2 linked regions of the Cricetulus griseus genome follow. The protein of the gene in region 1 purifies or fractionates together with the protein of each later gene. This does not show direct contact. Links are inferred from orthologs where the notes say so. Each region holds a gene or a part of one and is shown on either strand. Other genes may lie near its edges.

Region 1 (5,607 bases):
TTTGAAGCACCTTTGAGGCACTTTTCAGAAGCTGTATTTCATTCATTTAATTTTGGATTTGTATCTGTAAGAAGAGAATGCATACCTACGTTATAAAAATAGACACATTGAGGGACTGGAGAGATGGCTCAGCAGTTAAAAGTACTTGTTCTTGCAGAAAACTTGAATCATTTTGAGCACTGACATCAGGTGACTGATAATCACTGGTAAGTCCAGTTACAAGTGATGTGAGGCTTTCTTGTGGCCTCTGAGGGCACCTGCATACATACGATGTACATATATACACTCAGGCCCACATATACACATGTAAAATTTAAAATAATATAATCTATCTCTATATAACTTTTTTGTTATTTTAAACCTTGTAGCTTGAAAAATAAAATATTACTGCATATCTGAGAAGGAAGAGGAAAGGACATGCTACTTGGGGAAAGGGCATTGAGAGATCAGATAAGAAGAGTATGTTACTTTTGGAAAATGAAACTGAAGAGGGAGGGAGGGAGAGAGAGAGAGAGAGAGAGAGAGAGAGAGAGAGAGAGAGAGAGAGAGAGAGAGAACACAAGGACCTGCACAGCACTTGCTCCTGTTTCATTTTGGGAAGTCGTCTGAATTGTCATCAGGGCAAAATAAACAAGGGACATCATTGGCGCTCTGCTGGTAAATCTCTCCAGTTTACTCCACCAAAACATGCATAATAAAACCTTTTAATAAAGTGTAAACATATCATTTGAAAATTAAAACCATTGTTTCTTCCTACATCTCCTCTGAGTTATTATAGTTAGATTGTTTACAACTTAAACTTTGAGGGCTGAGTTTAAATAGGGTGTTTTCAGAATATAAACTTTATAAGAAAAAGGACAGAATGATTGAGGAAGGTAAAACAATGAGACAGTAAAGAACACCTGGGCTGGAAAAAAAAAAAGATGTGAAAAAAAACTCTTCACAATTTGTCACACACACTCACACAGACACACACACACACACACACACACAGGAGGTCACGACTCAACGATGTTTCCTTTATGCTCTAGAACTCTGAGGCCTATTATGCAAAAAAGAAATTTTACATACAAAAGTATGCTATATTTTTTCGTACTGGCATCTATATCATGTAATTACTAAAACAAAAGGCTCATTGTAACCAATTTTCCAACAATATTAAAGATAACTTATTAAAACCTCACCTTTCAGTTTTTGATAATCAGTACTTAGCTGACCATGAAATTTGAGATCTAAAAAAAGATACAAACTATTGAGATAGCTGACAGTCTCTCCCCACAAACTAAAACGAGAACCGTCATCAGAGGACAAGTGAAAATGGGGAAGAAATGTCCCTGTGGCCTCTAAACATCCCTTTTGCCCCGCATTCGGTCCTTTGTTCCATCTGTCTGTCACCTTTCCTCGCTGCACCATCCACTTGTCATGCTAGTCTCCACAGCCACCCCTACAGATCTTCCCCACAAAACGTCCTCTCCTGCCTGTCAGCCCCTCTTAAATCCTCCCAGGGTTCTCCTACACCTGCAGGACACCAGGTGTCCGCGCCGAGACTGGGAACCGTGTAGTGGATCATGCTGCCATCGGGTTTCCCGGTGCGCAAAGGGCCGCGGGGACAGAATTACAGAATTCCGAAGCGTCTGCTTCCATGTCACCCACCCACACAGCACCCAGGAGGTTCCTCCCGGGTACCCCGAGCAGCCCGCACTCACAGCGCACGGTGTGGAACGCACAGCGCGGCTGCTTCTCGAAGCTTTCGCCTAATTTGAGAACCCGCTCGCGACGGTCCAGGTACGCGAGTCCCGCTGGTCCATTCATTCTCTTTCTCTGCCACCCACTTGGCCTTCGCCACCCGCTGTCGCAGCCTTCCAAGCAGCTGCACCGGCCGCGAGCCTGAGCTCGGTCCCTGCCTGCGGGCTGGGATCTCCGGCGCGTGCGCCCGCCCCTTGGAGGCCCCGCGTCCTGATTGGCTGTCTGGAGACAGCTGCCACGCCCATCCCCTGCGGTCCCGCCCCGCCCCTAGCCCCCCTCTCCCGCCCTTAGCCCCCTTCCCGCGTCGCGACGCACGCAGCTCGGCGAACGCAGCCGTGCTGAGGTGCGCGCTGCGGGTCTGGGCCTGAGGTGGACGAAGGCGAGGCGAAGATGAGGTAACAGAGCTGAGGTGGCGCCTGGGATGGCTGAGGCATCCAGGGGGCGGAGAAGCTAGGACGCCAGGCTCTTCGACCTAGTGAACTGGCTGGCGGGGCCTGGTGACCGGAGCTGGGCCTCCTCCGCGCCTGGCCCGCAGGTTTGGAAACGGACGCCTGAGGAGGGGCGGCGGCTGGGCCCAGGCCTGTGGCTTCCCGAGGCCTAGTAGCTCCCGGCCGGTTCTAGAACCCCAGCCGCTACCCCGTCGGTGCCCTGACCAGACTGGAAGCCACTGGAAGTGATGCAGTTCCCTTGAGGGCCGTTTTTTAACCTTTAAACACCACAGGCCTTTTCCCGCCAGGGTTAGGGTCTGAGGAGGGAGCATTTCGGGGCGGGGCGCGGGGCGCGGGGCGCGGGGGGCGGGGGGATGAAGCTTAGGACTAGGGGTAACTGACTGCATTAGGTTTCTGGCATTTGTTTCCATCCTAGTGATTCCTGGAGGCAGTGAAGGGCACGGCCTGGGACTCTTGATTCCTCAAGGATCGGCCTAGCAACAGAGTAAACGTATGAATTGATCAATAATTGTCTTTTTTTTCCCTTTCCTCTTGACACTTCACAGCATCATTGTAAAGTGAGAGAAAGCATTCATTATGAATGTTAGAAGGGAATTCAGTAAAACCATGCAATGAGTTGCTCCAGCAGATGATTTTTTTTTTTTTTCAGGCTAATTGTATCATTCCTCCACTTCTACCTTAAACAGATATGTCAATGTATTTTTCCAGGTGGACAGGTGATTAGGTTTGCCTTCTACCCTCTAAAGGTGCATGGAGACTGTTTTATATGATAATTAGACACGAAGGTTTTGGAGCCAGAATCTCTGAGCTTGTACTCCAGTTTCATTGTAACGCTGTGACTTTGTGCAAGCAATTCAAACAAACGCGTTTATCATTAGAATCATTAGAATTCGGGAAGTAATGATAATAGCTATGCAGAAAACAATGCCCCTCCTTTAGAATTGTTGAGATGGTTAAATGAAATACATGCAAGCAAGTACAATTATAGGGCATGCTTATTTAGGATTCAGCTATACTTTCGTATTTTAAGACATCATTGGTGGCTACCTTCTAAATTTTGAATTGCAGGGCCTAGGAATAGCAGCTTTGCTTACAGATGGAAATATTTGTTTTGAGAAGCTAAGATCGTTGACTTTTGGCCGTCTAATATCAAGGGGCATTTGTTCTGTGGGCCAAATGAGTGCATACATACTTACTTGCACATGGATTTCTATTGCAGTATTGTATATAATAATTTGCAACCTAAATGACATCCAGTGAATGAGATGTTTAAGTATATTTCAATGCACTCTCACAAAGAACAGATAGGATAATGCAGACACTGGAAAGAGTAAGATAATTAACATGCATTCTATAGGAAAGTTTTGTATCTTCTACAATGCTAAGTGTTTTATTGGTCTTTCTTTAAAATGGCTTCAGTGAACTTGTCTATGAATGATTTATATTTTTCCCAAGAAGAAAGATGATTTTTGAATGACTATATTGCAGCCAACTTGTAAATACAAAGATGGGACCATAATGTCAGTCAGAATAATAGCCAAGAAATGAGTTAGATTATTTGAAAATATCTTTTATGTTTATAGTTTTACCTGGAAGAAAAAAAAATGAACATTGTAATTAAAATCACAGGCTTTGATGGATAATAGTGGCACACGCCTTTAATCCCAATGCTTGGGAGGCAGAAGCAGTCAGATCTCAGTGAGTTCAAAGCCAGCCTGGTCTACAAAGCAAGGTCCAGGACAGCCAGGACTGTTATACAGAGAAATACCGTCTTGAAAAACCAAAATAAAATAAATAAATAAATAAATAAATAAATAATCACAGGTTTTATAGCTTCTCGGCTTTTTTTTTTTTTTTTGGATAAGAATAAGTGTAAAATCACAAGATTTGTAGTTAGACTGATATCTAACTAATGCTACCATATATTGGTGGAGCTGTGACAAGTTTCTTCAAGTTTTCTTTTTTTCATTAATGGTTTTTCTTTCAAGATGGTCTCATTATGTAGCTGTGGTTGCCCTGGAACTTACTACATAGACAGGCTGGCCTTGAAATTACAGGGATCCACTTGCCTCTGCCTCCCAAGTACTAGGTTTAAAAGCATGTGCCACTATAACCAGATAAGTTTTATTTATTTTTTAACTGCACATTGGAGATGATTATGGGCACTGCTGCATAGTCCCATAATTTTATCCCATTGTGAGGATAAAATAATGCTTTAAAACCTACTTAGCACAGGTCCTAGCCCATAATATATATTATCCTTTATTAATTAAAAATGTTTTATATTAAATGATACTATTAAGCTTCAAATACTTTAGTACATATAGAGAAGTTTTGGTAAGAAAATTCAGATGTGGACTTTTTTTTACATTTTAGAGTTGATTCAATATAAAAAATTTTTAATTTTCTTGTAATTATATAACCTTTCTGAGGCCTAGTATGTTAGAGCTTTCCAAACCATCTCCAGATTTAGTGATTAGGTAGAAGGGCTTACAGGACTCAACTCATGTATTATCTTACTTGTTAGCTATAATTTGTAGTGAAGATAAGCAAAGCAAAGTTATCAAAGTCAAAGACCATATGGGATACATCCAGAGGAAACCAGGCCTGGTCTTCCAAGATCCTTTCCCATTAGAATTACATAGGACACACACAATTTCTCAAGCAAAACTGTTGTGACAACACCTTTAAAGTGTTTTCTACTAGGGAAGCTTATGAGATACTCAGTGACTAGAATTTTTGCTGGTTTGTGTGTTGAAAGATTGGTCCTTGATATCAATGATGAGAAGTGGTGGAATCTTGAAGAGGTAAGGCCTAGTGGGAAATAATTGGTATCACCAACCTTAAAAGATTTGATATAGTTTCTGTAAAAGTTTTGATAGTCCTTAAGAGAAGATTTACAAAAAGTAAGCTGGCCCCTTCTCAGTCTCTCTTGGGTATCTTTTGCTATCTGATGTCTTCCATGCATGCTATGATACCATCTGTCATATGGCAAAGCCAAGACAGCTCTCACCAGAGCTAAGCATGGCACAAGACCCTTGAACTTTCAGAACTGTGAGCCAAATAAACTTCTTTGTAAAATACTTCATCTCAGGTATTTCATTAAGTATTGAAAATCAGAGAAATAATAATTTTTGGGCTCTATAGGAAAAGCAGATTGTTTACCACAACCATTATTTTTCTAACAGTTTAGGAACAGTGATCTATAGGCTTATAAGAAATCAATAAAAATCCTTCCAAAGTCTGCATTCTAGATAATAGCCAAGGGCCAGCCTTGTAAACTGACCTTTGAAGAAATAGCTGTATGAAGCCTGACATATCAACTCTTCCTACAGTCTGTTTCTCCTATATGAATTCTATCCTAGAATTGTGTAGAGAGGGTGAGTGTAAAGCTAGCACAGTTTCTGATCCT
Region 2 (4,955 bases), on another chromosome or scaffold:
CATGGTATCAAATTTATAACTTTAAAATTTTACTTAATCACCTCAAAATAAGGTGTGTAACCCGCCTTCCATCACTTCCTTTAATTGAACCACAAATGTCAACTGTCCAGATTGGCTGTCTTGGGTGGTGAACCTTCATTTCACTCAGGAGGAGTAAAGAAGGATGGCTCCTTTATGTAGATCATACATGCTTTGAACCAAACCTTACCAAAACAATGAGTATTTTTAAGAAAGTTAACTCATACAACATATTACTTTAAAATCCATACTAGTTTATAGAATTTTCTAAGCATATTTAAATAAACACATAGTATTAAGATTATTTTGCTCTAGTTTATGTATCTTGAACATAAATGTAATTGTAATTTTAGCAAAGTAAAAACTGAACCACACATGCGCATGTAGTTATTTTAAGCAGTTTAACATTGGGGGTAAAGAGGTGGAGATTCATGTATTTTAGTCCAACAGATAGCAGGCCTATAGTCACAGAACAAGTTCAGATCATCTCAGGGCACACCATACTACGGATACATGAAAGACATTTTCTGACCCCAAGTCCAAGGACTATGGAAAACATACTTTGATGGCATCTTTGGCATCTACCACAGCCAGGTCTCGAAGGGCCCAAGCAATCTGCCTTTTGTAGAAATCTCCCTTATCAGATTTCTTGACTTTGACCACCTTCACCTGCACGGGGCGTTCAGTTGTCACTGTTGAACAAGATACACATGACTGTTAGCAATTTTAGTCATCTACTCATCTTCATTCACTCACTGTAAATGTCACTTTCAGGTGCCTGGTAGGGTGACACTAAAATAAGTGCAATATTTTGTAATAAGTCAACTGAGGAATTCACAGAATCCTAAAGGAAGCATCTAAATCAGACTAGAAGGTCAAAGGCAGACAGATGCCTTGAGAGGTATAGCTTAGGACCTGTTTTAAAGGGCGTAGGAGGGAAATTTAATGATTGACATGTGTAAGTGCAGAGTCCTGAAAGAGCCTAATGTCATCACAAAGAGCAAGAGGAAATGATCCAATGCAGGCCTCACAGTGTAATAGAAGGTGGATGGAAATGAAATTACCACAAAAGACGGTGCTGAGTTCTTCAAGGGCTCCATCTAAGGCAGTACGAGCTGCTATTACAGAAACAGAATGCTCTAGTTTCTAGTTTCAAAACATGACTCTGGCAACAAATGGAGTTTAGATTTGGAATGGATGCTGATACATTTGAAAAGCAAATGGTTCTCCAAACAATAACAATTATGAACAAAATGCTCATGAAGGTACTGTTGAATGGGAGGGGTCACAAAGAATTATAATTCAATTAATTAAAAGTTTAAAGATAAGCAAAACAAAATAATATATAGTTGGAAATCATACATGGGGAACATGGTAAGATTCAGGAGACCAGACACCTGTTGCTGTAAAGTGGAATGGAGTAAGGAAGACGATGGCAATTCAAAGATACTGGAGCTCTCATCTTACACTATATAAAATTTTTTTTACACACACTAAATATTCAATAGAAACAATTAAAAATTAATTTGTCAGTTCAATAATTTTCTCCAGTTATAGAAACAATGAAAATACTTTTAAAAGAAAGAAATGACCCTAAGGAATGAAGGATTATCAAGTACATATTTTTGCTTAAAAAATGCCCACCTGTAGCACACAGAAAACAGTTCTTTTTCTTTTTGCCTGCTTTGCAGACATTCACAATGCTCAGCAGGCGCTCATCATTCGGAGTGAAGATATCTCTCTGTAACGCGTGCTTGATCGCTGTCATCTTTTCTCAGCTGAAAAAGAATTTAGGATAGAGGTATTGTGCTCATTATCAAAATCTCTGCCTTCCCTCATAAACTGTTCCATTTACAACTCAAATGATTAAGTCTTCATTAGTAAACACATAAATATATTAATATATGTACATCATAAAAGCATGAGGCTACAAGTTTGGAAATGAATCAGAAAAAAACTAGTATTGTCACAGTAAAAAAATCTTTCCAAGTGCTCAACAACACTTAAAGTGGAAACACAGACACAAATAATCATATATATACTCATATCCATACATACACATACATACATATATGCACACACAAACACATACAACACATACAAATAGTCAATAAATATACAAAAAAAGTGTTCAGTATTGGGCTGGGGCAATAGCTCTGTTGGTAAAGCGCTTCCTCACAAGAATGACACAAGCCCCATCTTGTTTGACCTCTAAAGCTCACACAACAAGCAGTGCATGGTGAGCCCTGCTTTTAACCTAGCACTGAGAAGACAGAGTCAAGCAGACCCCTGGGGTTCACTGACCATTGCCTCACTTATTTGTGGAGTGCCAGTCTGGTGAGAGACCATGTCTAAAAAAGGGGGAGGGGATGGATGATGCCTTAAGGAAAACTGTATGGAGCTGCTCTTTGGCTTTTGGCAGACTCATAAAAGAAACCAAAACCATTCCATATCATAGACCACTTGGGAAACACAAATGAAATCCACAGTGAGATACCTACTACTTTCACATGTTCGGAAGCTAAAAAGGATCAAAAGGATCGCAACAGAAGTACTGATGAAGGAGCCTCTTCCATACAGCTGGTGGGATTGCTTCAGAAAACAGTCTGGTGGGGTCTTCAAAGTCATGCATGCAACTACCATTGTTATCTAGCACACAGCTCCCAAAAGAAATTATGAAAAGATATTCACAGAAAAACTCACATGTGAGTGTTCACAGAAACATGACAACCAACCTCAGTATATGTGGGGAGGCACCATCTCCAGGGCCCCCTATAGATACCAAACCCACAGATGTCTAAGGTCCTTAACATAGAATGCTAGAATATAATCTACAGATTTGTATCATCTCTAGACTATTTACAATTCCAAATGCAATGCAAATGCTATATAAGGCTTGTTATTTGTATTGTTTAAAGATAAAAAACAACAACAACAAAAAACAACTCCATACTTGCTCAACACAAAAACCATTTTCCCCCAAATATCTTCATTTGGTGGCTGGTTCAATGAATGGATTTGGAACCTGCAGACACAGAAGGTGAACTACATTTTGCAGTAGCCAAAAAGTAGGAGCAAGTCAAATGTTCATCAATGGACAGATAATGAAATGGGGAAAAAAAAATTCATGAAGACAGAAAGATGAGCAGTTGCTAGGAGATGGCAATGAAAAGTAGAAACAGCTGCTAATGGGGAGAGAAAAACGTTCTTCACTTAGTTTGATGGTGTAAAAACTTGTGAATATACTAAATAATGATAGGACACCAAGTGGGGAAATCTTATAAGTGAATTACACATAAGATCACTGTAAAAGTAGCTTTCCATTTCTTTTCTTCTCATCTAATTCAGTCTTTCTTCAAACATTAAATTAATTTTAAAAAATCTTCCTGACTCCTGTCTGACAAATGGGGAACCTGCATAAGACTGAACTAGACTCCCTTAATACAGGTGACAATGGTGTGACTGGAACAATATATGAGGCCACTGGTAGTGGGTCCAAGATCTATCTCTAATGCACAAACTGAATTAGTGGAGCCTATTCTATATGAAGAGACACCTTGCTAAGGCTAGACACAGGGGTCTGGGGGTGGGGAGGTGCCCTGGTCCTGCCTCAATGAGATGATGGGACAGACTTAGTAGACTTCCTAGGGGAGGCCTTACCCTCTCTGAGGACAGGAGAACTGGGGGAGAGGGATGGGGGAGATCGAGAGGGGAGGAGGGAGAGGGAACTGGGATTGGAATGTAAAAAATAAATTAATAAAAAATGTTAAAAATGTTTAAAACCTAAATATTGAATAAAATACAGAATAGTTTTATATTATTTTTTAAAAAGCTATGGGAAGTGCCCCACAATACAGTGAATGAATGAAGGAAAAGGCAAATGGAGAATATAAGCATATTAGAACATTTTTACACTTACTCTTAATGTTCAGAATTTTTTCTCCTGAAATTTTGATATTGTATATTCCTGCCTAGATTTAAATAATAAAGTAGTTTTACTTAAAAAAACTTCAATTGTTAATGAGAATAATTTAAATGCTTTTCCTTTTATGTATCTACTATTTTCCAATGCAAATGTGCCTTTGAGATTAATTTCTTACAATACCATTTCTTTCGATGGGAAAAGGAAGAAAACATGAGCTTTAATTAAATTTTTATAGGACAATGACTTCTTTGTAGAAATCCTACAAACTGTGCCTCTTCTACACTTTACTCTGTGAAGCTTCTATCCATATTCCAAGTGCAAAACTTTTTCTCATCTAACCTACACCTTCCATCTCCATCCTTCATCCACCTCATCGCGAGCCTTAGGTGTCTAACTTCTTTCCCAAGCCAGCCTGGAGGTGGCACTCATTTCCCTATACCCACAGTAGCTATCCCCTTTGATCATTTTAACCATACTTGCAGGCCAATTTATTCTCCATCATCAATCTCCATAAACAGCGTTTGTTCTTTACTTCTCTAAGGCCACTAGCCAGCAGAAAAAGCTGTGTGTGTCGCATCACTGCCAATATCTAAACCCAGTCCAAGCTGGGGTTTCAAGCCGCCCAACAATTCTTTACCACTACCTCTGATGAATTCCTTTCCCAGTTTAATGACTCTAGTTGCAAATTCTTACTACTCTCCTATCCTCAACTCTAGTCTCCTCTCCTGCCCCACAGAGAACGCACCAGGAAGCATAATTCTTCCTAGTGCTCTCTCTCTTCTCCACATTCTCCTACCCTAACCTCCACTCTATTATGGAGTGTCCATGTTATTAAGTCCTTGTCCTAGTTAGGGTCACTATTGCTGTGATGAACACCATGACCAAAGCAACTTGGGAAGGAAATGGTTATTTGGCTTACACTTCCACATCACAGTTCATCATTAAAAGAAGTCAGTACAGGAACTCAAACAGGACAGGACCCTGGAGGCAGGAGCTGATAGAGAGGCTTTGG

Evidence for each region. Proteins that work in one complex are often made in the same cells at the same time.
Region 2: the proteins of Iqcb1 (region 1) and Exoc1 purify together in Homo sapiens (affinity purification with mass spectrometry; 3 studies listed by BioGRID and IntAct, counting the BioPlex papers as one, with this or other methods). This does not show direct contact. The link is inferred for Cricetulus griseus from reciprocal best matches to the Homo sapiens genes IQCB1 and EXOC1.

What each region holds. Positions count from the first base shown.
Region 1 is NC_048597.1:53,159,117-53,164,723, reverse strand, and holds the start of Iqcb1 (IQ calmodulin-binding motif-containing protein 1), read left to right. Parts: upstream 1-2,004; 5' UTR 2,005-2,141; intron 2,142-2,584; exon of another isoform or gene 2,585-2,610; 5' UTR 2,611-2,685; intron 2,686-5,607. Other genes in the region: Eaf2 (ELL-associated factor 2), read right to left, coding at 1,707-1,812. UniProt on the Homo sapiens protein: Involved in ciliogenesis. The function in an early step in cilia formation depends on its association with CEP290/NPHP6.
Region 2 is NW_023276807.1:142,974,390-142,979,344, reverse strand, and holds part of Exoc1 (exocyst complex component 1), read right to left. Parts: intron 2,728-4,955; exon of another isoform or gene 2,520-2,727; intron 1,797-2,519; 5' UTR 1,787-1,796; coding exon 1,663-1,786; intron 711-1,662; coding exon 580-710; intron 1-579.